Linked DNA regions of Ovis aries. The protein of the gene in region 5 purifies or fractionates together with the protein of the main gene of each other region. This does not show direct contact. Links are inferred from orthologs where the notes say so. Each region holds a gene or a part of one and is shown on either strand. Other genes may lie near its edges. The genes, in order: COPG1, SACM1L, ARCN1, COPZ1, COPE, COPG2 and COPB1.

Region 1 (3,500 bases), on a different chromosome or scaffold from region 5:
TGGGCCGCTGGCGCGGTCGAGGCCTGGAGGACAGGCTGTGGCCGCCTGCCCGCAGAGGCCCCCAACGGCGTGCCTTCCCTCCTGCAGTGGCCTGCACGTTCAGCTGCATGATGAAGTTCACTGTCAAGGACTGCGACCCCACCACCGGGGAGGCGGACGATGAGGGCTACGAGGATGAGTATGTGGTAAGCGCCGGCGGGGCCCGCAGGGCTCACGCCAGCCTGCACGCGTGTGCGCTGGTTTCGGTTTAGACGTCGCAAAAGAGTTCTTGTTTTTAACTTAAAAAATACATGTTCAAGTGTCACAAGAAAACCTGGGAAATAGAAAAACAAGTACACTCAGGCAGGGAAACGTTCACTGTAGCCCTTGGGAATGGCTGCGGGGAGAGAAGCTGTGTCTGATGTCATTACATACATTACAGATCTTGTTGGTTTCCCTTAGAACCAGGGTGTAATTTCCCGTCAGTACAAATACTTCATAAACACAAGTCTTAGTGACTTTAAAATACTCCCTTCTATTGACATATCCTAATTCACCTCACTTTGTATTCCAATAACATTGGGCATTTGTGATTCCAAATTCTCACTGTTTTTGAGTGCTACAGTAAACACCCCTTTCAGTAAAAATTTGTGCCTGTGTTTCAGACCTGTCTTGTGACTGGAAGTAGAATAATTAAAAAAACATTTAAAATAATTAAAAAAACAAGTAGGATAATCGGGTCAAAGACGCAGGACGGTTTCAGGGCTTTTTGGTTCCTGCCATCAGTCGCTTTCTAGAGAGACGGGGTCAGTTTGTGTCTGTCAGCGACCTTCTGACGCAGTGAGGTGCCCCTTCCGGCTCCAGCTCGCGGGGCTAGCACAGAGCCGAGGGCAGGGTCATTCTCGATTTGCCCGGCGTGCGGCGGCTCCCTGCCATCTGAGTGCAGACCCTGACAGGCAGCCTGGGATGGAGACGGCCAGGGCCCTCGTAGCCAGAGGGGCAGTCGCTGGGGCACACCCGATGGGCACTTGTGTCCTCCCGGGTCCAGGCCTGAGCCAGCAGTGCGCGCAGCCAAGGCCAGGAGGGCTGGGTATGAAGCCCGGCTTCTGCCACAGGGGCTGTGTCCTACCTGTGAACGCCCTCCCCGCGCACGGGAGCAGGGGCTCAGCAGAGAGCTGCTGGTGAATGAGCGGGAGCCTTTCCACACAGTCGGTCCAGGGTGCGCGTCCAGAGCGGGCCCGGCTGACTCGGGGCGGCCTCTGAGCACTCCTCCCCACCCCGCCCCATCAAGTCAGGCACTGGCGGCTTCGGAGGGCGCGCTCTCACAGCCAACACCCCGAGAGGAGGACAGGGGCCCCTCCATATCTGTGGGTTCTGCCTCCATGGATCCAACCAACAGACGGAAAATGGAGTGGGTTCCAGAAAATTCGCAAGAGCAAAACGTGAGCTTGTCACACAAGGCAGCTATGTACTTAGCGTTTGCACTGTGTTTACGTCTGTTTCCATGACACTTACATCATATCGGGTATTATAAACGCTTGAGAGGTGGCGCAGAGCATAAGGAAAACGTGCGCAGCTTAAACGCAAACACGGCGCTGCTCCACGTAGAGGACTGGAGCCCCCAGGAGCTCGCTGTCTGAGGGCGCGTCCCGCCGAGGGGCCACCACCCGGCCGTGAGCTGCTGAGGACAGGCCGCTGGTCCGCTGGGGCCCGCCCCGGAGCCCAGCGCTCGGAGCCTGCGCGGTGGGAGGGGCGGGTGGGCAGAGCGGAGCGGAGGCTCTCGCCGTCTCTCCTGGAGCTGTGTGCCTCAGGACCCTCCTATCGCCCCCCAGCTGGAGGACCTGGAAGTCACGATAGCGGATCACATCCAGAAGGTCATGAAGCTGAACTTCGAGGCAGCCTGGGACGAGGTCGGGGATGAGTTCCAGAAGGAGGAGACGTTCACCTTGTCCACCATCAAGACACTCGAGGGTAAATGCTGGGGGTGCCGGCTCTGGTTTGCCTGCCTTTCAAGACCCTTGGCCACTGTTAAAGTGCTCCTCCTCCCCCCGTCCCCGCCCCCGTCCCCCAAAGATCCAGGGCCAAGTCTAGAGCATACAGTTCAGATACACAGAATAATAAAAAAGTCGCTCAGTCATGTCCGACGCTTTGCGACCCCGTGAACAGTGCAGGCCATGGAATTCTCCAGGCCAGGACACTGGAGAGGGTAGCCTTTCCCTTCTCCAGGGGATCTTCCCAACCCAGGGATCGAACCCAGGTCTCCCACACTGCAGGCGGATTCTTCACCAGCTGAGCCACAAGGGACAGTTCAGATGCTGCTCATTAAAAGCTGCATACAGTGGGATTTGGGGCTGGGGGAGTGGTGATAGCGCCAAGTGGAGATGAGCTACGTGGGTTAATAACTCTGGGACTCCTCCCTGCAGAGGCTGTGGGCAATATCGTCAAGTTCTTAGGAATGCACCCTTGTGAGCGGTCTGACAAAGTGCCGGACAACAAGAACACGCACACGCTGCTCCTGGCCGGTGAGTGGCGTTTCTCGTGGGAAGGGCCTGGGTGCCCCTGGGTAACCCGGGGATTTAGGGCTCGCAGCGCGGAACATCACAAGGTATGAGAAGGCCAGCTAGCGCCGTTTTCCCCCGGCGCTTGCTGCCAGTCAGTGTCCCTGCCCACGGGCAGCCAGTGAGCTCCTACACAGGCCTCCAGGCGCCTCCCTGTGATCCTAAGGGTGTGAGAGCAAGTGTGCATGCTGCCCTGTGCAGAGTCAGACAGCCGTATGCAGACGGCGGGCACGCTGCTTTGCACTTGGCTGTTCACTTCACCGTGCATCTTGGAGAGCCTCCTGGTTTTTTTCCTTTTTTTAATAACATGAAATTTACCAATGTAGTGATTTTCACATCAGCTCAGCAGCGTTAAGTACATTCCCGCTGTTTTGCAACTATCGCCATCACCCACCTCCAGAACTTTCCCGTCTTCCCAGACGTCTTCCCAGACTGAGCTCTGGTTGTTTCTCATGGCTGAGTACTGTCTCTCAGAACCAGCACGTGGACTGAGGGACACCTAGGTGGTTCTCGTGTTCTGCCATTACAGACTGCGCTGCAGGGAACAACCCCACACACACGTGTCTGCTTAGGCACTTTATTTTGGATGTGTGCACTCTGGGTATTTGTAGGGTGAGTTTCTCAAGGCTTTACCAGGTCAAAGTGCATCTTTCATCTCGGTAAATATCTCCAGCTGCCTTCCATAGGAATCGTGTGCCTTCTCTCCCACACTTCCAACCGGGCAGCGTGTTCGCAACCTGCGCGGCCTGTGCTGGGCGTGTCCGTGTGTCTCGAGTGGCTTCACTCTGAGTGTCCTGTGTACTGACGGGCGCTCAGCATCTCAAGTGCGATCTGCCATGATTGCTCTCACCCCCTCTGACGTGAAACAGCGCGTGCATTCTATTTATTTCTATAGTTTCCACTGAGTTGGTTATTCCTTTCTGATAGGAATGGGGTTTTTAAGCAGTTCTGGGAATTTTCAAA
Region 2 (3,500 bases), on a different chromosome or scaffold from region 5:
GTAAGATGCTAATCGATGGTTGCAAAATCAGCTTCCCTGAGAGACAACAGAACCCGTCTGCATCTAAATACAAAATACCTTTCAGCACAACATCATTAGAGTTTTGACCGTAACTGTCCAAATCTTCAAACAGATTAAAAGAAAGTGGAAGGAGGTCACCCAGATGTGTACTCAGACTCTAGGCCCCCGACTCCAGGACACCCTGCCCGCTGGCGTCAAACCCCAGAGAGGCTCTTGCAAAGTCTGGTGAATGAGTCAAATACGAGAGACGTGTCAAACACATACATTGACTTCTACATCGCAAGTTTGCCTCCAGCAACCGCTGAACCTCGGGGGGAGCAGAGTCTCCTTGAAACAAGAGAGCCCCACACCTGTTCCGCATCTGTGTTCTCACTTAAACAGCATCTGCAGCTGGACGTCTAGGCGCTTCTGCGTCTAGGCTACGGTAAACGGCGCTGCAGTGGACGCCGGCGTGCGTGTCTTTCACAGCTGTGGTTTCTCAGGGCACATGCCCAACAGCGGGGCTGCTGGGTCACACAGTGGATGCATTCCTAGCTTTTAAGGACGGCATGCTTTTCTCCATAATCGCTGCAGCTAACATTCCTGCCAACAGTGAAGGAGGGCTCCCTTTCCTCCACATCCTCTGCAGCATTTACTGTTTATAGATTTTTCAAAATGTGGTGCATATATACAACAGAGTATCACTCGGCCATAAAAGAAGATCAAACCTGAGTCAGCTCTAGTGAGGTGGATGAGCCCAGAGGCTGTTCTACAGAGTGAAGCCAGAAAGAGAAAAACAGATACTACGTATCAACCCATATATGTGGAATCTAGAAAATGGTACTGATGAACCTATCTGCAGGGCAGGAAATACAGGTGGAGAGGAGAGGCATGTGGGTGCCGTCAGGGAGGGAGAGGCTGTGACGAGTGGAGAAGTAGCACCGACGTGCACACATGATCGTGTGCAAAATGGGAGCTGGTGGTGAGCCGCGGGGAGCCACAGGGAGCCCACGGCCGTCTGCGCTGAGCTGCAGGCGGCCGGATGCCGGGAGGGGAGGGAGGCGCAGCAGAGACGGGCTGTGTGTATAATTATGGCTGCTGCACACTGCTGCACAGCAGAAACCAAGACAACACTGTAAAAATGAACAAAACAACACAATAAAGGAGCTGCAAAAGACAGTCAAGTTTGAGAGAGGACAACATTCCAAAGTTACCTCACTCTTCTCCCTGACCTGCTCCTTGGGGCAACATAAGTATTTATATTCCATTTAGAACAACACATAATGTTTTATGTCAAGGGGTGTTGGACCATCTGTACCTTCAGTCACAACTCTATTAACAACTTAAAAAACATAAAGGTTTCTTACAGCCAGGAACTTCAGATCTCTTGGAACACTTAAAGGACTATGAGATTCTAATTCATCCACTGAATAGTTCCCAAGAAATAAGTCTATGGAATCCTAGAAGAGAAAAAAAGGAAAATAATAACTCCCAAATTAGGTATGGGGAACAGTACAAAAACACAGCCACCAAATAACCACAAATTAGCATGAGAAAACTAACTTACTTGTCTAAATCCATCAGAAAAGTTGTTCTTGTAATACCGTATTAATGAGTTCCAGCCATCCATTATAAGTCCCAACTGAGTTCTCTTCCCAGTTCTAGTTAAATAAGAGGTTAAGTTTTGAGTTACAGATTTGCATATTAAATTCTCACACTGTTTATAGCCAATAACTACATGGTAAGGAGATAAGTAAATTATAAAGATTTCTTTTTTAAAATCCTTGAATATATAAAGGAGACATCTCACAAAAGAAACTGTACTGACTCCAAGAAATCTGCATCCTCTTTCTAAAGCATTATCACAGTAGACACAAAGAGGAAACATGCTCAGTTCCCCTTGCAAAGATAAGAAACAAGAAGAGAAACACACAGCCCAGGCTAAGTGGTATAAAGCGAACAGACTAGAAATCTTATCTTGCTCCCAGGGAATCCATACAGCAGAAAAAGACCCAACCACATCTGTAACAAATTCAAAACATTCCAACCTCTCACTACCCAGTGCGGTCCTTGAAACCAGCTCTAGCATCACGCAAGCACATAGTCTCAGGCCCCTCCCAGACCTGCTGAATGGGCGTGGGGTGAGTCAGCCACAGTAGGTGGCTGAGAGGAGCTGAGGTGCCCTGGTGCTCAACCCCACTGTGCGCCAGAATCACCCAGGGACGCTAACAAGCCACCGCTGCCTGGGCCTCATCTCCCCCGAGTCCCAGCTTGACGGCCTGGAGCGAGGCCCGGGCACCGGCGGGCGCTCTTGGGTGAAAGCTGCGCGAGCGATCTGCCATGCACCGGAGTGTGCGGCCCAGCGCGCGGCTCACCTGGTAAAGTCAGTCTTCAAGGCACCGGTTCCCGCGTACTGTTTGGCACAAGCATTTGCATTGTCAGCCCAGGCTGTGGAGGGGCAAAAAGAGGAAAAATCAGTTAATAACCACTGACAACCAATGCTCTAAATCCAAAATGTTTATTTCAACATTTGAATGACCTTGCCTCTGTTCAAGAAATGACCTACCATTTTTGTAAATCTTCTCAAATTCATCTTGTTCTTCAAGCTTTTGTCCCACATGCAAAACTCCTAGTCTCTGGAATAAGAATCATACCCATGTTTACACGTTACAGATTTCAGCATAGTCTCCACAGAGTCTCACGTGCTTGCTGGCTTCAGCCAGATGTTTTCCCTGTAACACAGCCCTCCGCTGCTTAGCCCGGCTGCAAAGCCTCTCTCTGGGCTCCCATCCGCCCACAGCCCCTCTCCCCGCTGAGCCCCAGACCACAGCACCCGCAGCAGGACTGGGTAAACCCAGAGACAGGGGCAGAGGTAAAGGCGGGGAGTATGCAGTCAGTGCTCCCTCCTTCCCTGCCCCCGCCCCCAACCTCCCATCACCTGGACCCTGTGCCCGCCTCAATTCACCACCCAGACTGCTGACCTCCGCACTTACCCCTAGCCAGGGGCCCTTTGAGAACTAGAGGAATGCTACCCCCTCCCTCGCCACAAATTGCACAGAAGCACAGCCCTCTGCATATCATCTCACAGGACCCCGGGCAGCCCGAGTCTCTCTGCGGACTCCCCTGTGGAGTTCACTGACCACGGACTGGACTCCTACCTTGGCCTTTGTTTCGGACCCGCAACCCTCTTAGAGCCACTATCCTCACTGCTCGCCTCCGATGGCCTCTCCCTCACTCCCCCAGCACAGGGCCTGCCCACCCCAGTGACCGGCCCTCTCTGGAAGGGGAGAGGCACAGCTGGAGGCCCCACGTCAGCGGGCCCTGAGGCTGGAGAGGCTCCTGCCCCCAGGCTCTCTGCAGGCTGCTGAGCTTCCATAGGACTGTTTTTAGCATGTAAATTAGTTAAATACAGATTACAGAACCCAGTCCAATAGATTTCTGTTAGCCAGCCTTGGAAGCAACCAGTCTCAATATGGTTTCTGTTGAAAAATATCCTCTGA
Region 3 (4,211 bases), on a different chromosome or scaffold from region 5:
AATAAGAAAAGAATAGCACTCTGTAGATAAGCAAAGACTTCACAGATTAGGGCTACAATGAGACTTAATATCAAGTTCATTCAAATATTAATTTATTAAGGAAAAAAACTGACTATAATGATACCTGACAAATGTTAAGAAAATAAGACATATTCTCATTAATTTGATGAAAACTAGAAAAAAGATTTTAAAAAAAGATTTTTTTGTACTTGATTTTATAACAAAGTCATCATAAATCATTATTTTTTTCCATTTGTTCATTTTATTTCTCTACTAAGACTTTGCAGTGTAGGACATTTTGCACCAAGTTCAGTCACTAAAGCTAAAGGAAATTTACTATTCAAAAACCAACATTTACATACTGATATCTACAATTTATTTTAAAGTGCATTTATATATATATATTTATTTATTTGGCTATATGAGCTCTTAATTACAGCATGTGGGATCTAGTTCCCTCACCAAGGATCAAACCCGGGCCCCCTGCATTGGGAGCATGGAATCTTAGCCACTGGACCACCAGTGAAGCCCCTAAAATGCATTAAAAAAAAGATGACCACAGGATGGGTGAATAATTAGATGTGTGATAAAGCAAAAATAGTGAAATGTTAATTACAGACTAGCTGGTGATTACATGGGTGTTCACTGTAAAGCTCTCAACTTTCTTACATGTTTGAAAATTTTATTATAGATCAACTTTTAGAACTCTGGATACAGCTTTTAGATTCAAGAAATCTTTGCAAAATGTTACCCTATTTGGACATTTCTTTGTCCAGGGATCTCTTTGTAAAGGAACGGAACCCATAAATATTACACAGAAAAATACTTAATAATGCCTTAAGACTCAACAGAGCAGAATGTACTGAGATAAGTTGTTCTCCAGAGTACACAAATCTGTAGGTATCTGGATCACGCCAAGTTCCAAATAATTCAGAACTATAGGCATATTTAAATGTGACACAACCGTATGTATATGTAGTGTCCAAATAACATGCAATTAATGTTTTTATGTTTACCATGTAACACCTAGGGTCCTATGGGCCCTCTGGTTATTGATGAATTAAAAATACTACTAGGGAAAAAAGCAGCAGGACATTCCCAAACTTTTCAACAAACAAGGTTTTTGTTAAGATTATCTACATTTGGTTTATATAATAAAGCCTTTAATTTTGCTTTTAATGTTATTGAAATGCACTACATGTACATCCAAGATGTAAAAAGAATCTAGTTTTAAAATCACTACCCGAATACTAAGCCTCCTAGTGGAAATGAAGAAAGGAGTTTTTGGAAATTTTATGTCCAACATAAAAGTTTTATGAGACAAACCTGCTTGATGCAATTTATATGCCTGAAGCTGAAAAAAACTGTTAAGTGATTTAAAGTCCAAGCCTGAATCTCCTCACCAAGTTTTCATCTAAAAAGGTTGTGAACAGAACTTGGTATAATTGGCACCAAATTATACTGTCATCTATGAAGTGCGTAGGAAGATGTTTTAAATCAAATTATTAATCTAGTGACAAAAAGAGAAATAAGAAAAGTACATCCTTCAAAGATTAAAAATTACTAGCTTGTTTGGAACCAAAAAACTTCTCCTACTTCATAAACATTCACAAATCGTAGTGATGAAGCCAGATGTAGTGGAGTGAGCACTGTGTTTTGTTTCATCTCTCACAAACATTAATTTTAACCGTCTCTACTACAGATGAGATGGGAGAAGAAAATGGCAACCCGTTCCAGCATTCTTCCTGGACAGAGGAACCTGGTAGTCCTTGTGATCCCCGAAGAGTCAACTTAGCCACTAACCACCACCACCACAGATGAGAACACGAAGATAATTCAACTGAAGGCAAGTAACAGGTCCCAAAGAATAAATCCCTCTCACTCCTGTGAGACATCTGATTACCGTATGCCACATCCACACTTCACCTGAACTATAAGCTCCTTGAAGACAGAAAACCTGTGTTCTCCATGACTGGCTCGCATCTTCCCAATGCTCTATACACAGAGTATACCCAATCACACCAACAAATGGACACACCTAAGATCTACAGAAGCGGGTAGCAGGTTTCTGGGTTAGCTGGGTCCTACAATTAGTGCCATATCACTGTCAGAAGTTACTCCTTCCCGTTCTGTGCCTCCCTATCCACTTGCTTCTATTTCTCCCTTTCGAACAAATTAAAGAAAAAGTCCTCAACACTAATGATTTAGATTTCAAACATCCACGGCCTACGGAACACCGGGGATGAGAGGTGAGTTGATTACAGAACGAAGTAAATCCCTGACAGAAGCCCAGCTTGGGGCGCCGAGGCACCCACTGAACCTGCTGGACACCAGAGGCCAGGTCCGCAGCGTGGGGTCCAAGACCCATCACTAAGAGGTAGGTTCTTGCAGAGCAAAAACCCCGAGCCCGCTTTAGGGCCCGGATCCCGGCAGAGGTGGGTGCCTAGCTGATGGCGGGGGAGGGGTGTGGGCGCGACCCTAGAGGGACTGCAGTCAGGTCCCTTGGATCTCCTGGGGAGTCGATCCCAGGGTGGAGAAGCCCCCAGAGCCCCGAGGAAGTGTTCGGCTCCCGGCCCTTGGGGCGGGGCTCCTCCAGCCCCAGCACAGGCCGGTAGCAGGAAGAACGGTCGAGCAAGGCCGGACGCGGGAGTTGAGCCCGGCTCGAGTCTTACCATGGTGACGGCGGTGGTGGGGCGCACCCGCGCGCTCCGGCTCCACTGCGGCTAGGGCTGGGGTCGGGGGAAGGGGAGGACCGGCCGCTCCGGACCTGCTGCCCCCCTGACAGGAGCGCCGCCGACTCGCCTCTTACCAAGATGGCGTCCTCGAGCCACGTCTCCAACCGGAAACGGCGCGGGTCAAAGGGCGGGGGGCGGGGCGCCGTGAGGTGGAGAGACTGTGGGCGACGGCTTGCAACGCAGATTGTGCTGGGGATGCCTGGGGGCTCGACCTCCAACGTGGAACCGTAGGCTTCTCTCCCTTCCGTGTTCGTCAGCGCTTTTGGTTAACTTGCGACATCTCCTGCAGTTCATAAAGCTCTCAAAGAGACCGTATCATTTGATATACACGATAACTGGTGTTCATAAGGGACTAGTAGCCAGAATATACAAAGAACTTTTAAAATTCAACAATTGAAAGACAACTAATCCGATTTTTAAATGGCTAAAATAGCCATTTCTCTAAAAAAGGTATATAAATGACCGGTAGGCACGTAAAAAGATGCTCAACATCTTTAATCTTTAGAGAACCCCACTTCACATCCGTTAGGATGGTTGTAATAATAAGTGTTGATGAGAATATGGGAAAATTAAACCCTTATACACTGCTGGTGGAAGCATGAACTAGTGCTGCTGCTTTGGGAAACAGTTTGGCAGTTCCTTAAAAAATTAAACATAGTGTTACTGTGGCAATACCACTCCTAGGTATATATCCAAGAGAATTAAAAGCACATATCCAAAGAATTCACCTGTCAATGCAGGGGACATGGGTTTGATCCCATAGGGCAACTACACCCTGTGCTCCGGAATAAGAGAAGCACTGCAATGAGAAGCCTGGGCACCTCAACAAAGAGTAGCCCCTCCTTTCCAAAACTAGAGAAAGCCCACTCACAGCAGCAATGAACACCCAGCACAACCCAAAAAGGTATATTCCACACACAAATTTGTATTCTAATGTTCATATAAGCATTATTCATAATAGTAAAAAATGGAGACAGTCCAACTGTCCCATCAATTGATGAGTGAATAACAAAATGTAGTATATCTACTCAATGGAATGTTAGTCACAAAAAGGAATAAAGTAATGACATATGGCACAACATGGATGAACCTAGAAAATATTATGTTAAGTGAAAAATGCCAGTTATAAAAAACCACATCTTACATGACCCAGTTTATATAAATTGTTCAGAACATACAAATACATAGAGACGGAAAGTAGGGCTGCAAGGGACTGGAGGAGGAGGGAAACAGAGAATGAGATTTGGTTTTTGTTCTTTTTTTTGGCTGCGCCTAGAGGCATTGGCAACCCACTCCAGTGTTCTTGCCTGGAGAATCCCAGGGACGGGGGAGCCTAGTAGGCTGCCATCCATGGGGTCGCACAGAGTCGGACATGACTGAAGTGACTTAGCAGCAGCAACAGCAGAGGCATGGGGGATCTTAGCTTCCACACCAGGGATAGAACCTGTGTCCCCTGCTTTGGAAGCATGGAGTCTT
Region 4 (3,996 bases), on a different chromosome or scaffold from region 5:
ACTATTTTTTTACTCTTCCCAAAGATAGTATAAAACTAGTGACACTGCGTATACAGAGAAATTGATTCATTACATACAATGATGTCTTACGGCATTAGGGCTTAATTCTCCCCTGGAACTCCAGTTGAGAAGGGCTGGAATGGAGAGAAAGATACGTAAGTTCTTAATTGGGGGCCCAAAATATATTGAAGGTAGTAATGAGCACACACATACAAAAATGTTGGGAAGCACAGACAAAGAGGAAGGAAATTACTAATATGATATTCTAAGAACTCTGGTGACAAGAACTTGTATTGGTACTTTGTTGGTACTTTGAAAGTTGGTACTTTGTACCTAACTAACGTTTTATATAACTGATAGTTGAATGTGCAATTTGGCATACTGAAGAGGTGGAAGCACACGATAATATGAGAGAAATACTAGGTCTGGGAGGATTAGGAGTCAAAAACTAATCCTGGTTTTGACTGTGCTTACTCGAGGAAGCCCTTTTCCCTTAATCTTCGTTTCCCCTTACACATCACATAGGTTCCTCAGGACAAAGAATCAGTAAGGTTTCTAAAGCAAACTTCAGGGATACCTGATCAGGTCAGCAAGGATCTGTGAATGAAGCATCTTAGGTAAAGATTAAAATGGATATAAGGAAGAAGCAGGTCAAAACAAACTTCATTATGGAAGCAAAGATAAGAACTGAAGTAAGAGAAAATGTGAGAGGGAGAGAGACTTTCACATATAACTCAGGTCACTCTACACACAGATCCCTTGTTAAAAGGGCTCCTGGAGTATCATCTTCCTCACTCCTTTACCTATAAGCAGGCTCCCTTCTAAACAGAACTAAGGGGCAGTCTAAAATTTTCTTAAAACTTCCAAAGAAACCAATTCCCTAGAATTCATCTCAGTCTGTTAACTAGTTAAGAACACTGGTTAACTGGTTGGTACAGAAAATATCTTTAGTAAGATTTCAAAGCTTTCTACCTAGACTTAAACAAACCATATTTTTGGAAGAAACTAGCAGAAAGTGAAGAGGAACTAAAAAGCCTCTTGATGAAGGTGAAACAGGAGAGTGAAAAAGTTGGCTTAAAGCTCAACATTCAGAAAACGAAGATCATGGCATCTGGTCCTATCACTTCATGGCAAATGGATGGGGAAATAGTGTCAGACTTTATTTTTTTGGAGTCCAAAATCACCGCAGATGGTGACTGCAGCCATGAAATTAAAAGACGCTTACTCCTTGGAAGAAAAGTTATGACCAACCTAGATAGCATATTCAAAAGCACAGACATTACTTTGCCATCAAAGGTCCATCTAGTTAAGACTATGGTTTTTCCAGTGGTCATGTATGGATGTGAGAATTGGATTATGAAGAAGCTGAGCACTGAAGAATTGATATTTTTGAACTGTGGTGTTGGAGAAGACTCTTGAGAGTCCCTTGGACTGCAAGGAGATCCAACCAGTCCATCCTAAAGGAGATCAGTCCTGGGTGTTGATTGGAAAGACTGATGCTGAAGCTAAACTCCAATCCTTTGGCCACCTCATGCAAAGAATTCACTCATTGGAAAAGATCCTGATGCTGGGAGGGATTGAGGGCAGGAGGAGAAGGGGACGACAGAGGATGAGATGGCTGGATGGCATCACTGACTCGATGGACATGAGTTTGGGTAAACTCTGGGAGTTGGTGATGGACAGGGAGGCCTGGCATGCTGCGATTCATGGGGTTGCAAAGAGTCAGACACGACTGAGCGACTGAACTGAACTGAATCCCTGCATTTGCCATTTTGAAAGAGGGATATTGAAACCTGTTATTCTCTTTAACCTGATGAGGATTTGGAGGTGTACATATGAAGAGCTGAAGGGGGGTAAAAAAGGAACCTAGAGTTCAATTCAATTAAGAAGCTGGGAGTTAAATTCCTACACATTACACATACATATATATGTTAACAACCCCACGTTTGAAAGGGGTGGGGCACTTTTGAGAGAAATGCTCAGTTCTAAAGAAGAGATAATAGTTTTTTGTTTTTTTTTTTTTTTTGAGCAAGCAAAAAGGATTATATGGACAGGGGAGGTAACACACCTCTTCAGTCACCAAAATTCTTACATAACCAGAGAAAAGTTGGCATCCCAGATCCTACTATAGTAAGAATTCCCAAAATTTAAATGAACCGGGAAAAGGAGAACAGATTAAGAAGTCTGAAAAAACATTCCACAATCCAACACTAACTCTTATCAGGTATTCCAGAACTCTAATGGAATACTGATTCTTTATGATGACAAAATCTACATAGTAGGAAATCGAAGAAGAAAATAGTTTTTTTTTTAAGGTCTACGACAGGGAATTATCAACGGAGAGTTGCACTGTGACAAGTTTTCTGTGATGACAAACACCTGCACTCTATTCTTACAATTCGAGGCGAGTTTGGAGATTTGGGGGAACTCAAATCACAGTATCATCCACAATGCACATAATCAGAGAGAATCTGAAGGACCCCAATCCAGTACGCTTATGATCCTATGTGTCCTAAGGACTCCATGTGCTCCCTTCAACTTTCCACCAACTCTGCCCTAACCCCGGCACAGCTTCCTACTCTAAACCGAGGCTTTAGCTCCGGCACTAGGCCACAGGCTTATTCCAGGGACCTGCAAAACGTTCGGACCCCGAGGATTACCAGGAACTCCCCTTTCTACCCCCTCCCACTCAGACTGAACTCCGACTCCCGGCCCCCCTGGACAGTGCAGGATCTCGGGTGCCCCTCCAGCTCCTACCAAAATCAGCGCCTCCATCTTGCCCCGCAGCTGGTGCCGACGTGGAACCACAGAGGCAACGCCGCCTCTGATTGGCCCTACGTCCTCATTAGATCCCGCCTGGGATGAAGGTTATTGGACGCCCAAATGTCATCTATTATTTTATTGACCAATCAGTGTACTAGTTTGCTTAGCGGAAGCAAGGTGTCCAGCCAGAAGGCGCAGGTATTTGATTGTCAGTTTAAACATTCAATAAAACGACAAAACCTCAAGGCTGAATGGAGAGGGAAGGTCAGAGGGGCGGGGTTGTTTCCATGGGGAACAGAGGAAGCGATTGTTAATTTTCAATTGGCCTGGCGGAGGGCACGTGATATCATCGGTCGGATTTAGTAACTTTGATTCGCACTCCCTTTAGGGGGCGCTGTGTCTCTTTGGCCCTTCACACTGGCAGGTCTTGATGTAATCCCACCGGAATCTTCATTCCGGAGCCTCCATTGGGTCCCCGATGTTCACGGTAGCTTTGGCAAACACTACTAGCTCTTCCTTCAGATTCGCTCAGATCACTTCAGCATACTCAAAGTCTGCACAGTCATAAAGTAAAGCCACAAGATGACCAGCGTGTTACTTTGATAAAAAGAAGGCCGCTAGAGGTTGATTGCTAAAAATAACAATCTACCCTAGGTGGAGTCCCAGACTTTGCTTGATCCAGGGAAGGACAAGAAGCTAGTGAGTTTTCTAAAAGCAGATTTTGTTTGGCCAGCCGTGAAACGGGATTTGAGATCTTTGGATGCTGAGGGACACAGGAATAAAGGGTCCAGGATAAGGAACGATGTAGGGAGCAGGGTATGCTGTTTTCCAGTAGGGACAAGCCATTGCACAATGAGAAAAGAGAAGTTTACTGAATGCAGAGATTTCACAATAGGGAGGGATTTTGATGAAGTTTAGCTTTCCTCACCCTTCAGTTTCTTGGTCCCTGACGTTTCGTAGGTCAGGGACACCTTTATTTGCCTTATATGTGTGTTAGTCGCTGGTTGAGTCCAACTCTTTGCAACCCCATGGGCTGTAGCCCACCAGCTCCCTTGTCCATGGAATTCTCCAGGCAACAATACTGGAGTGAGTAGCCATTCCCTTCTCTGAGGAATCTTCCTGGCCCAGGGATGGAACCTGGGTTTCCTGCATCGCACTTGAATTGTTTACCATCTGAGCCATCAGGGAAGCCCTTATTGCCTTATATTGTCCCTCAGAGGTTTTTGTGGGTTT
Region 5 (3,500 bases):
CAAGGTCTTTAACCACTTACATCTGCAGACAGCCCGTTTCCAACGAGGTCAGGTTCACAGCTTTTGGGGGTCCCCATTCAGCTGCCATTGCTTAAGTCTCTTTGAAGAAACCCCTCAGGTCTCTTTATGGACCAAGGAGCCAGATCAAAGGAGGTTGCGCACGGGGCGCTGCCCTCCATGAGGAGCAGAAGTGGGGGTCACAGGAGATATCCACACTTGGGACCCACAGAGGGCTGCAGCAGCCCGCGAGGGAGGCGTAGTATCGATGAGGTCAGGCCCACATCCTGGTCTAACAAGCTCCACGGGGCAGCGTTCAGGAGAGGAGCCCGAGACCCCCCGAGGCATCACAGTGCTGTGAGCGAGGCCCCGGAGCTCGGACAGGCAGCTGGGGTCGGCTCCCAGAGCAGAGCATCTCCCTGTCATGCGCTGTGCTGCCCCGCCTTCTAGCCCAGCCACCCTCTGGGGGGTGTTTCACCTCTGAAATCCCAGGGGGCTTTGTGAGCAGTCCATTTCCAGGGGTGGGGGGAACCGAGGTGCAGGGGGACCACAAAGCCTGCTGCATCAGGCTGGTGCTCCACGCACAGGTGAGGCAGGGCCACACAGCTCCCAGCCAGAGGCTGAGCTCACAGGCACCTGGGTGAGCAGCCCAGCCCAAGACCTGCCTGCGCAGGAGCCACCTGAAGCCAGAAAGGCCAGACCGTGAGCGGTCTCAGACCCCACGCCGGGCAGCAGAGAACAGGCAGGCCTGGTCCTGGAAGACCCAGCGCTTCCGGGTCCCTACAGCCCTGACCCTCGCCTCTCCCGGCCACCACCTGACGGAGTCTGATGACAGCTGATCAGCGGCACGAGGCGGACATGCAGCTCAGAGTGAGGCTGCGGTGTCCGCCCTCCCACCCGTCCGCAGAGATGGATGACAGGCAGCGCAGCCACCAGCACCTCCCCGCAACTCAGGTGAGCAGCAGCGGAAGGTGGGGAGGGTCCCCGCCGCGCGTCCCGGGGGGGCTCTCTGGGCAACCAGGCTTCCGCAGCCCCTAGGCAGCTGTGCAGTCCCCACCTCTGGCCCCCCGCCCCCGCAGAGACCTCCTGGAAGCAGGGCCCCTCACTGCCCCCGCTGTGCGGCTGAGGGGAACCAAGGCTCAGAGGGCACAGCAGGGATGCCCACCAGACACCCCCTGCCCGCCCAGGCCCGCCCACAGCGCCCCAGCCTCACCGCCGGCTGTCGCTGGCCAGGTACTCCGCAAACATGCGCACAGCCTGCAGCTCGGGGGCAGAGGAGGGCTTGATCTCATCCAGCACCACGCCGTACTTCCTCTGTGGGCAGGACACGGACGCCGTCAGCCCTGCCCGACCTCCCGGTGCAGTTTCTGTGTCCCAGACCCCAGGGAATATACAAGGGCTGCTTGGTGCCAGCATCGCCCTGGTGAAGCCCCAGTACCTACCGCTCCCAGGGACGCCCCTTGGCCCTCGGGAGCCACCACAGCATCCCCCGTTAGCCACACTGCCCACTGCTCCAGCTGCAGACCCTGGCCGGTCACTGTACAGCCCCAGGTGGTGAAGGGGAGGGGGTCACAGGGTCAGGGAATCTGGGCATGTGCTTCGGCCTGCCCACAGACACCCAGCAGGGAGGTCACTGCGAAGGGAAACTGGCATCAGGGACCCATTTCCCTGTTCCTTTCCAGGCAGTTTCAGTGTGTTCATTGCCTTCTACGTGTCTTCACGTTTCATTTTTTTTAATTTATTAAAAAAGAATTTTTTGGCCTTGCCATACGGTATGTGGGGCCTTAGTTCTCCGACCAGGGGTCAAACCCGTGACCCCTGCATGGAAGCCACAGAGCCTTAACCACTGGGCCACCGGGGGAGTCCCTACCTGTGTTTATCTTTAAAGACACATGCAGACATGAACACATCCGAGCAGACTCTGCAGTGCACTGGGGCACCCTACTCTGACGGGGGGCACACACACCCTGGAGGTGGGAGGTGGCGGGGAGGAGCACCTGGGCCACAGGGGGAGGTCCCCTCAGGTTCTAGAATGCTCCACAGAGGAAAAGATGCAAAGAGACCTGGGAAGCCACCTGAGGCCTGACGCGAGGTGGGGGCACCTGTGAGCCATGTGCCCCCCACACAGCAGCCCAGGCCTGCCCTCTCCCCGCTGCTCTAAGGGGATGAGGCTGGCGGCCACACCCGTGCTGTGGGCCTGGGGTGGGAACACGGTGGGCACAGTTCAATCCTCTCTGCAGAGTCTGGGTTGTCTATACAACAGGGGGATGAACTCTCACTGCATTACGTCCCAGGGGAATGCTGCTTTTTAAGACCCAGGTAAAGAACCCGCCTGCCAATGCAGGAGACACCAAGAGACGTGGGTTCCGTCCCCGGGTGGGAAGGCCTTGGAGCAGGAAATGGCTCCCCCTCCAGTACTCTCGCCTGGAAAATCCCATGGACAGACGAGCCTGGCGGACTACAGCCCATAGGGTCACAAGGAGTTGGACAGGACTGAGCACAGCATGCAACGATGCTTTTAAAACTTTAACTGCAGCATCTAAACTGCCAGCTCTAGTTAATAACGGCATCAATACCAGTGCATCAGTTCTAACAAAAGCACCCCACAAACCCAAACTGTTAATGAGAGAAAATGCCTGTGGGGTGGGGCTGGGATTTGGAATTCTTTTTATCATCTGCTTGGTTATCTGTAAACCCAGAACCATACCGAACGAGTAAAATCTACTAATTAAGTGGAAAAAACAAAACAAAACAAGAAATCCCAACACCGGTCTCCTGAGCTGGTGCTGCAGGGCCTCAGTGACGCGGTCACCGACTTCCAGTGGCCACACCAGCTGCGTGGCTCCTGCCCCCGCCGACACTCTGCTCCTGACTCTCCTGTCCCAGGGCACCGGCAGTCACAGTCAAGGGCCCACGCTCACCTGGGCCAGGTACGCTCTGTACAGGAAGACATCCCGCTCCACGTCTCTCTCCGGGCTGGATGGCTGCGGAGGCAAAGGTAGGTCAGGACTCGCGGGGGCCGTGCGGCCAGCAGCCCCACAGAGGCCAGCCACAGGCAGCCTTCCCAGGAGACTGGGCCCTAGTCCCCGCCCTGGCTCTCTGCCCCCTTAGGACCTTCGGCCACAGGCGAGCAGCCGCCACGGACGGCATGCAGCATGCTGGGCACCCCATTCTGTGCCCCCAGGACATCCCCCTGGGAAAGGCGGCTCAACTGTCACTCCCATCCGGCTGGGTGAGGGACGGGGACACTAACAGTGCTGAAACAGCCCGAGCCATACAGAAGGGGCCGGGGCAGAAGCCACGCTTCCGACCACGGGACACTGGGCTGCTCATGCCGATGGGGAAGGACCCGAGCCTCAGCAGACCAAAATGGAAGCAGCTCAACAGTCCAGGTGGTCCGAGGACGCCTGCAGTGGGGTCGGGGTTGGGCGTGCACTGATGCCTAAGTCTGTACAAGCCTAGAAAGCAGGCCTGGGAAGACTCCCATCTGAAGATGGATGGCT
Region 6 (4,159 bases), on a different chromosome or scaffold from region 5:
GGCATCCAAATAAAAGGTTACATAGAAAACTGCTTTGATGGGGGCCACGAAGGCTGGTTAGGAGACTGTCCAAAAAACAGATAGGACCTGAATTAAGGCAATAGCAGTAGGAATAAGAAAAGAGATTTAAGAGATATTTACATGGCATAATGCTTCAGAATAGAGGGGAGGGATGGGAACAGGCCAAGCCCAAACAGAGGCGTCCAAGAAGGGCTGAAATTGAAAGACAATCTGGAAAAAGTGATACTGAAGCCAAAGGTAGCAACAGCTTCTTAGTCACACTCTCAGACAGGAGAACTGAAAATCAACATACATTTTAGGAAAGGGCTAAGAGGAATCTGAACGCACAAGTGAAAGTACCTTAACTTAGTAAGAGTTATGTGTCAATCCCCTGGAGAAGGGAATGGCACCCCACTCCAGTACTCTTGCCTGGAGAATTCTGTGGACAGAGGAGCCTGGTGGGCTATTGTTCATGGGGCCGCAGAGCTGGACACGACTGAGCAACTAACACACACACACACACACACACACACACACACACACACATAAACACACAAGTGTCAAAATGGTCACAGATGGAATCATTTGAAAGGGTGGGGTTAGTTAGGGAAGATCCTAAACTGGTAGTGTTTTAAAGTGTGTCTTGATGAAGGGAAGAATTATAAACAAAGTTGGGAATGGTGGTCAGTGGTCCAAAACCTACCCTTCTTGCTCTGAGTAAAGACCAGCTTTCTCACCCCTCCAAATGGGTCTCTTCATTTTTCACATTATGTGTCCTCCCTTGGGAAGTCCATTTTCACGAAGGTGCCCTGTGCTTTGTTGCAGTCTCCAAGAAGTCAGGGAGCGACTCGCCAACTTCCCAGATGATTTGGGAACCATTAACCCTTTCATCACTCCTGGAGAAGAAGCCCACCAGAACCGCACCAGGAGAGAGCGAGTTCCGCAATGGAAGGGCCCAGCAGTGGTTTATAAAAAGCGCCACTGTCATTAAGTGAAAACAAACCCTGCAGGACCCCCGCTTCTCCAAAGACTGAGGGACCTGCAGAAGTCGCCATCTAGGGCGTGCCAACCAATAAAATTTCATTCTGCCCGCTCCGGGTGTGGGCTGCCGGGTGGCTTGTAGGGCGGGCAGGGGCTAGCCCCCAGCTGCTACCGGTCGCTGTAGGGGCGGAGGTGCGACTCCGGTGGGAACCACCGCTGGCCCCGCCTCCTCCCGGTTTGGGAAGGAGGAGAGGGGGTGGCCACGCCCCCGGGGGCGGTGAGAGCGGCCGGCGCCGGGTAGGGAGGGCGGGCCTTCTTTCCGAGTGACGGGACCGCGGCCCAACCGGCGCCAGAACACCGGACCGGCCTTCCTGCAGCCTCTTCCGCTTGCCGGCTGCGGCGCCTGGGACGGTTGCCGTGGGTCTGGGCGCTGGGAAGTCGTCCAAGATGATTAAAAAATTCGACAAGAAGGACGAGGAGTCTGGTACGCCCGGGGCTCAGCCGCGAGGGCCCCTTCCCCTTCCCCCGCCCCGCCGCCACCTGCTCTCGGGGACTGCGAACCTGGGGGCGTGGGCGCCGGTGTGCCAGGGGGCTGGAGTTGGAGCCCGGCCCCTCCTCCGACCCCGCTCCGCTTCAGCCGGGGGCCTGCCCCTAGCCCCTCCCCCAGGGCTCCGGAGCCTCCCTTCAGGTCGGCGCGCTCGCGCGCGGCCGCCCGCGCGCCGCCTCGGGCTGCTCGGCGGCCCCGCCCCCAGTCCCCCTCCTCTGGCGCCGCCGCTCCTCGGAGCCGCCTTCTCCTCCGCCGGTTCGCCTGGGGTGGGCTTGCCCACCAAAGAGGCGGGCCCACGGCAGGTGGCGGAGGGAGTGAGTGTGCGCTTGCGAGAGGCGGCGGTTGGATGGGGTGGGGTGGGGGCGGGGTACTGATAGTGTACGGCCCTGAGTGGGTCTGGGGTCGACTGGACTGTGTGTGTGTATGAACTTTGTGGTGCTTGTACCTTACAGTCTCCCTGGGGACCTCTGCGCTGTCCGCTTCCCTGGGGGCAAGGCTGTTCCGTGGTACCTAGCTCATTTAATACTCAAGCATCCAAAAGTGAGTTGCATCCTGATACCCATCTTTGGTCCAGAGTAAATGAGGCAGATAGCCAAGTCCCCTCAAAAAAAAAAAAAAAGAAAAAAGAAAAAGTCTCAGTGATTGATAGCTGCTCTCACAAAGCGTGGTCGAGGGTTGGGTTAGTAAACCTCTATGGCCCCTTCAAAGCTTGACGCGTATCTAATTCTCTGATAAACTCTTCTGCCTCCAGCAAAATGTTAGAAATACACAAAGTAGTGCTTTCCTATAGGGAAATCCGAAGAGCCTTACCACAATCTAAATCTCAGTTGTGTGGACATGGCAGATATTTGTAACATTCATATAAAAATAAGGCAGGCCAAGAAGACAAGGTACTCATTTTAGGTAGAGTTTCTGTAAAAGAGAAGTACAGGATCTTACAGGATAGCAGATAGAGCTAATGTCAGAGTCAAAAAGATTTTAATTAATTTGTATGCATATTAGTAATGATTATCACTGTAATATCCAAGTGGACACCTCGCATAGGTGAGATTTCTCAAGCATTTAAAACCCTTCTTAGAAAGTAAATACATCTGTGTATGCCAGCTATTAAAGACATTTTTTCCCCCATAATATAGGTAGTGGCTCCAATCCTTTTCGGCATCTGGAGAAGAGTGCTGTCTTACAAGAGGTATGGCTTGGAAGTATAGTGTGTTTTTTCTTTTCTGTTCCATTTTAGAATGGGGACAGAGCACCTGGAATTCTATGATCCAAAATAAGAATTAAGGAATGTAACTGAGTTCAGAGAATATATACTGGAGGGAAAAAAAAAAAGAGGGGTTACTTGTCATAGGAAAGTCTGGCGTTTATAGAAATGCAAACATTTGTAGACTCTGTCACATGTTGAGAATTTTAAGTAACATAAGGTAGGAGGTGTTTAGTGCAAGGTTTTTGAAGGAAGTTATAGATACTAAGCTCATTGTATTCAAATGATGTAGGTAAATATTGAAATTCTTAGATAAAGTCCACAAGTTGAAGTGGGAGACTTAAGGGAGTGAGTATAGAATGGAAAATCACATCTGATAATTTATTATATACCATAATAAATGGAAAACTATAAGCTAAATTATTTGGATACTATGATTAAAATATATAATAGTCCTAAAAACATATATATAATTGTTTTCATTTTATTTGATTGTCTATAATCTGTGATAGAAAATATACATAGCAGTGTTTTTTGTTTCCACAGGCTCGTATATTCAATGAAACGCCCATCAATCCAAGAAGATGTTTGCATATTCTTACAAAGATTCTTTACTTACTGAACCAGGTAAATTACTGTGATTTTCCTCAGATTTGTGTCTTAGAATAGAAATACATAATGTGCAGTGAAGTTTTTTCTAGGAAGTGTAATTATTAATTTTTTAATAATTCACTTAATTTTAGAATTTGCAGTGTTTGATTAATGTAGTAATATGTAAAATTTGTGGACAAGGAGTATGACATATACTTCTTTCTTATTCATGAGGTACCAAATCAGCTAAGCACACAGTACAATCTCAACATTGATTTGAATTTAACAAGTATTAGTTAATATTCAAACATGTTGTTTAGGTATGTTCAAAGGTCTTTATGTCCCTCCAAAAATATTTTTAAAAAGCTTAGACAAATTCTAGATAGACATTTTATCCTTTTGTGAGGGTATATTAATGCTTTAAAGCTTTCATTTTAATATTCAAATTAAGGAATATAAGCAGGAATATTGTTTTATTGTGCTTCACTTTATTGAATTTTTTTTTTTTTTTTACAAATTGAATGTTTGTGGCAACCCTGTATTGTTAGATGATGGTTAGCATTTTTTAGCAATAAAGTATTTTTAAGTTAAGGCTTGTACATTGTCTTTATTTAGACATAATGCTATTGTACAAAATAGACTACAGTGTAGTATAAACATTTATATGCAACATTTATATGTATAAATGTATAAATTTATATGTATAGATAATATAACATTATATGCACTGGGAAACCAAAAAATTCCTGTGATGTGCTTTATTATAATATTTATTTTATTGCCATGGTCTGGAACTGAACCTACAGTATCTGCAAGGTATGCCTTTGTTTGTTTAT
Region 7 (3,500 bases), on a different chromosome or scaffold from region 5:
TCATGTTTGACTTGACAGCTTACAAAGTGCTGTCAGAATTTTGTTTTACCTCTTCAACATTCCTAGAGGAGACAAGATCCAGTGCTAACTGCAGAGTCTTCTTGCGTACTTCTAAGTCTGGTGTGCTCAATACTCTTAGGATGTCCATAACCAGATCCTAAAAAAGAATAGAAATAATCTAGAATTAATATCAGTATTTCTGGTCACAAGAAGAAAATCTTAACTGCAGAATAGAGGGTTCTATCATGACCTTAATTCTCTGATCAATAATAAAATCACTACTGTCGGACAAAACAGATAATTTGAGTTGCCTGATGTAAGGCAACATGAAGTATGTAGTATCACATATGATGCATTCAAACTGAACATGTTTACTCTGTCAAGCTTTAGCTCAAACGTGCAGTTTATAGGAAATACAGAAATCAGAGCAACAAGCTAAATGACACCAAAAAAAGTAACCAGATACATCCAGGAGGAGTCTCTCAAACAAGTCAGTGTTCTGAAAAAATGATACTGTTCAAATTAAGAGACTCAAGGAACCACACATCACAATTACATACATCACAACCAAGTGTGATGTATGGCTATAAATAGGAAAAATCAAACCAAAAGAGTGTTTTAGGAATATCTGGGAAAATTGGATGATTCATTAACAATTTTGTTAAGTGCGATAATGTTATTTTGGCTCTGCAGGAAACTAATATTTTAAAGAGGCATACTTAAAATTCTATAGCAAGTGTTTTCAAATATAGCAAAACAAAATATTTCACTTCTTTAAAACTTTATTTTTTTAAAAAATTCTGATAAAAATGTTCTAAAATTTTTAAGGATAAACTCCTCTACAACCATTACTTATATATACCAGTTGTTAATATCTCACCACATTTGCTGTGTCTTATTCTCTATACTCCGAAATGTTTCACTGTATACCCAAGAGTAAGAAAAATTTCCTATATAACACAATTATCAAATTTAGAGAACTTAACACTGATTAATGATACTATTAACTAATACAGAGTTTGCATTCACATTTCCCCAACTTTCCCAATAATGTCCTTTATAGAAAATGTTTTTGTTGTTACTGATCCAGGATCAGCATTGAACGTAGCTTTATTTTTATCATGGGGCTTTAGTTTTGTAATAATCATTGTCACAGATTAAACAGGTATATTGATAATTTTCTAGAATCTAATAATCTTTCATTCTCCGTTGGTGTTAATTACTTTGCAAAAAATGTAAATTAAAACTAAAACAAATATATCTCTACTTGTAAGAACACCAAGTGCAGTACAAACAGAAAAGATAAAATGTAACACATTAATTCATGTTAGAAATTATTTTTAATAACAAAGACAATACCCCAAAAGGCTACAGTGCTTCAGGAGTTATATTTTAGTTGATCAAAATTTAAACCACCAAATCTCCAAGCATTTAAGCTAACCAAGATGAAAAGTATTGGGAATTATTTCAATTTGAAAGAAGATTCTATTTAGGATTTCTCTGTTTCAGAAATATTTACCTGTAGTACTCGTTCATGAGCAGGATGTTCTTTTAATTCTATCAATCGATCTAGAACTATAAGCTTTACATTGTTGTCACTCTCCTTAATAATTAAATCAATGTAACACTGAGCAGCAGCCTATGTAAAAAAAAGAAATACATTTTAAGAACACATTCATCTATCTTAAACATAGAATCTGAAAATAAGTAAAGCCTCCAAGAAGCCAAAATACATTCACTATCCTACACTGAAAATTTATGCATTTTTCTCAGAGGAATGTGTCCCTCTACTACCCAAGTTCTAACAAATTTCTTTTTTTTTTTAATTACAAAAAATTGGAAGCATCACAAATTAAAAGGATGAGAAGAGGTTGTTACAGCCAGAAACCCTCATTAACAGCCAAAAATTAAGGGCTGAACCTAAGGAACAAGGCAGAAAAAAGCAGATAGAGAATCCCAAACAGTTTGGCTACTAAGCAACTTTTAAGTTTAGGTACAAACCCTAACCCACTTGCATTACAGAACAGAAAAAATCAAGAATATAAAGATGGCTCTGAGTCATTAAAAGTAAAGGGCAAAGATGCAAATCTGAAAGAGCTCCTAATGACTAAAGCTAGGACAATTTGATCAACAAAATAATAATACTGGACTATAATCCATAGCATAAAACATCCATACTGATATAAAGAAGAAAAGGAAGGAAAGAAGGAAAGGAGAGAGGGAGGAAGGGAAGAAAGAATGAAGGAGAAGGGACAGCTCCTCCCTGCAGAACTCCAAATAGTAAGTGTAGAATGAGGGTAACAAAAAATCACCATTAGAATATCATAATAGAAACTGCTATAGAAAAGATCTACTGATATGTGTCTAAATTAGCTGGGTATAAGTCTGAGGAGAAATAGGATATTTGCAGAGTTTCTAGGTATGTTCTCAAAATATTTATTGATTACAAAAGGAAAAATCATAAGTCAACAGTAGAGAAATCTGACAGAGACCACCTTAACTGAATGATCAAGTTTAACATCACCAGTAATAAGGTATATCAGCATCATGTAGGATAGGATACACTGAGAATGGTGTACCACTTCTGTGGTACTTCCCTAAAATATTTGCACATTAAACTAATGAGGAGAAAATGCCATACAAACCAATTAAGAGATATTTTACAAACAAACTGACCCAGTACTCTTCACAAGTATCAATATCATGAAAAACAAGGAAAGGCTGAGGAACTATCCCAGACTAGAAGGACACGGACACATGATAACTTAGTGTTACATGGGATCCTAGACTGAATTCTGGGACAGAGAATGAACTTTAGTAGGATAACTGATGAAATCTGAATAAAGTCTATAGTTTAGTTAACAATATTGTTCCAACGACAATTTTAACTTTGACAGCTACACAATTGTTATGCAAGACATGAACATCATGGGAAGCTGGGTGAAGGGTAATGGGAACTTTGACCTATTTTTGCAACTTTTCTGTAAGTTTAAAATTATTTCAAAATAACACATTAAAAAAGAATTTTTTAAGTATTGGTGGTAAAAGCACTAAATTCCCCTATTTATACAATCTGGTTTTCTACAATAATTCATTCTATGAATAGAGTAGGGTTCCTCACATAGCCTTGACAGTATATTAAAATATTTCATTATCAAAAACATTCACTGGAACTGTTTTAGGGTACATTATTTAGGATTCAGCATCCATTTCCCCAGATCTAGTTCTTAATGTAACTGAAGTATGGGGTGGAGATCTTAAAATACCAGTATCATGCTCCAGAAACTACAAATACTGCTATTCTGTCACTTTTACTCTTTATATACATATGAAAGCAGAAAGTAAGAAAAGAAGGTTGGACTACACTGGAAATCAAAGAATTTTCTAAAATTTGTAGTTGATTGTAAGGTTACTACATCAAGTGAGAAGACAGCATGTCTATCATCTAACTGACACACAGACACACAAAAAAGGACAGTACCTTGATGGCAGTGGGTGCA

The links.
Region 1: the proteins of COPE (region 5) and COPG1 fractionate together in Homo sapiens (co-fractionation; 6 studies listed by BioGRID and IntAct, counting the BioPlex papers as one, with this or other methods). This does not show direct contact. The link is inferred for Ovis aries from reciprocal best matches to the Homo sapiens genes COPE and COPG1.
Region 2: the proteins of COPE (region 5) and SACM1L purify together in Homo sapiens (affinity purification with mass spectrometry; 4 studies listed by BioGRID and IntAct, with this or other methods). This does not show direct contact. The link is inferred for Ovis aries from reciprocal best matches to the Homo sapiens genes COPE and SACM1L.
Region 3: the proteins of COPE (region 5) and ARCN1 purify together in Homo sapiens (affinity purification with mass spectrometry; 4 studies listed by BioGRID and IntAct, with this or other methods). This does not show direct contact. The link is inferred for Ovis aries from reciprocal best matches to the Homo sapiens genes COPE and ARCN1.
Region 4: the proteins of COPE (region 5) and COPZ1 purify together in Homo sapiens (affinity purification with mass spectrometry; 3 studies listed by BioGRID and IntAct, with this or other methods). This does not show direct contact. The link is inferred for Ovis aries from reciprocal best matches to the Homo sapiens genes COPE and COPZ1.
Region 6: the proteins of COPE (region 5) and COPG2 purify together in Homo sapiens (affinity purification with mass spectrometry; 5 studies listed by BioGRID and IntAct, with this or other methods). This does not show direct contact. The link is inferred for Ovis aries from reciprocal best matches to the Homo sapiens genes COPE and COPG2.
Region 7: the proteins of COPE (region 5) and COPB1 purify together in Homo sapiens (affinity purification with mass spectrometry; 6 studies listed by BioGRID and IntAct, with this or other methods). This does not show direct contact. The link is inferred for Ovis aries from reciprocal best matches to the Homo sapiens genes COPE and COPB1.

The regions. Positions count from the first base shown.
Region 1 is NC_056072.1:59,032,435-59,035,934, forward strand, and holds part of COPG1 (coatomer subunit gamma-1), read left to right. Parts: intron 1-87; coding exon 88-185; intron 186-1,811; coding exon 1,812-1,950; intron 1,951-2,402; coding exon 2,403-2,501; intron 2,502-3,500. UniProt on the Homo sapiens protein: The coatomer is a cytosolic protein complex that binds to dilysine motifs and reversibly associates with Golgi non-clathrin-coated vesicles, which further mediate biosynthetic protein transport from the ER, via the Golgi up to the trans Golgi network.
Region 2 is NC_056072.1:53,562,617-53,566,116, forward strand, and holds part of SACM1L (phosphatidylinositol-3-phosphatase SAC1), read right to left. Parts: intron 2,637-3,500; coding exon 2,567-2,636; intron 2,449-2,566; coding exon 2,376-2,448; intron 1,662-2,375; coding exon 1,568-1,661; intron 1,461-1,567; coding exon 1,368-1,460; intron 1-1,367.
Region 3 is NC_056068.1:28,962,178-28,966,388, reverse strand, and holds the start of ARCN1 (coatomer subunit delta), read right to left. Parts: upstream 2,801-4,211; 5' UTR 2,676-2,800; coding exon 2,673-2,675; intron 1-2,672. UniProt on the Homo sapiens protein: Component of the coatomer, a cytosolic protein complex that binds to dilysine motifs and reversibly associates with Golgi non-clathrin-coated vesicles, which further mediate biosynthetic protein transport from the ER, via the Golgi up to the trans Golgi network.
Region 4 is NC_056056.1:132,224,513-132,228,508, forward strand, and holds the start of COPZ1 (coatomer subunit zeta-1), read right to left. Parts: upstream 2,801-3,996; 5' UTR 2,776-2,800; coding exon 2,758-2,775; intron 135-2,757; exon of another isoform or gene 78-134; intron 1-77. UniProt on the Homo sapiens protein: The coatomer is a cytosolic protein complex that binds to dilysine motifs and reversibly associates with Golgi non-clathrin-coated vesicles, which further mediate biosynthetic protein transport from the ER, via the Golgi up to the trans Golgi network.
Region 5 is NC_056058.1:4,117,289-4,120,788, reverse strand, and holds part of COPE (coatomer subunit epsilon), read right to left. Parts: intron 2,982-3,500; coding exon 2,919-2,981; intron 1,312-2,918; coding exon 1,211-1,311; intron 1-1,210. UniProt on the Homo sapiens protein: The coatomer is a cytosolic protein complex that binds to dilysine motifs and reversibly associates with Golgi non-clathrin-coated vesicles, which further mediate biosynthetic protein transport from the ER, via the Golgi up to the trans Golgi network.
Region 6 is NC_056057.1:96,089,689-96,093,847, reverse strand, and holds the start of COPG2 (coatomer subunit gamma-2), read left to right. Parts: upstream 1-1,359; 5' UTR 1,360-1,428; coding exon 1,429-1,465; intron 1,466-1,980; exon of another isoform or gene 1,981-2,068; intron 2,069-2,664; coding exon 2,665-2,717; intron 2,718-3,278; coding exon 3,279-3,359; intron 3,360-4,159. Other genes in the region: TSGA13 (testis-specific gene 13 protein), read left to right, coding at 826-995. UniProt on the Homo sapiens protein: The coatomer is a cytosolic protein complex that binds to dilysine motifs and reversibly associates with Golgi non-clathrin-coated vesicles, which further mediate biosynthetic protein transport from the ER, via the Golgi up to the trans Golgi network.
Region 7 is NC_056068.1:37,993,661-37,997,160, reverse strand, and holds part of COPB1 (coatomer subunit beta), read right to left. Parts: coding exon 3,482-3,500; intron 1,640-3,481; coding exon 1,520-1,639; intron 158-1,519; coding exon 50-157; intron 1-49. UniProt on the Homo sapiens protein: The coatomer is a cytosolic protein complex that binds to dilysine motifs and reversibly associates with Golgi non-clathrin-coated vesicles, which further mediate biosynthetic protein transport from the ER, via the Golgi up to the trans Golgi network.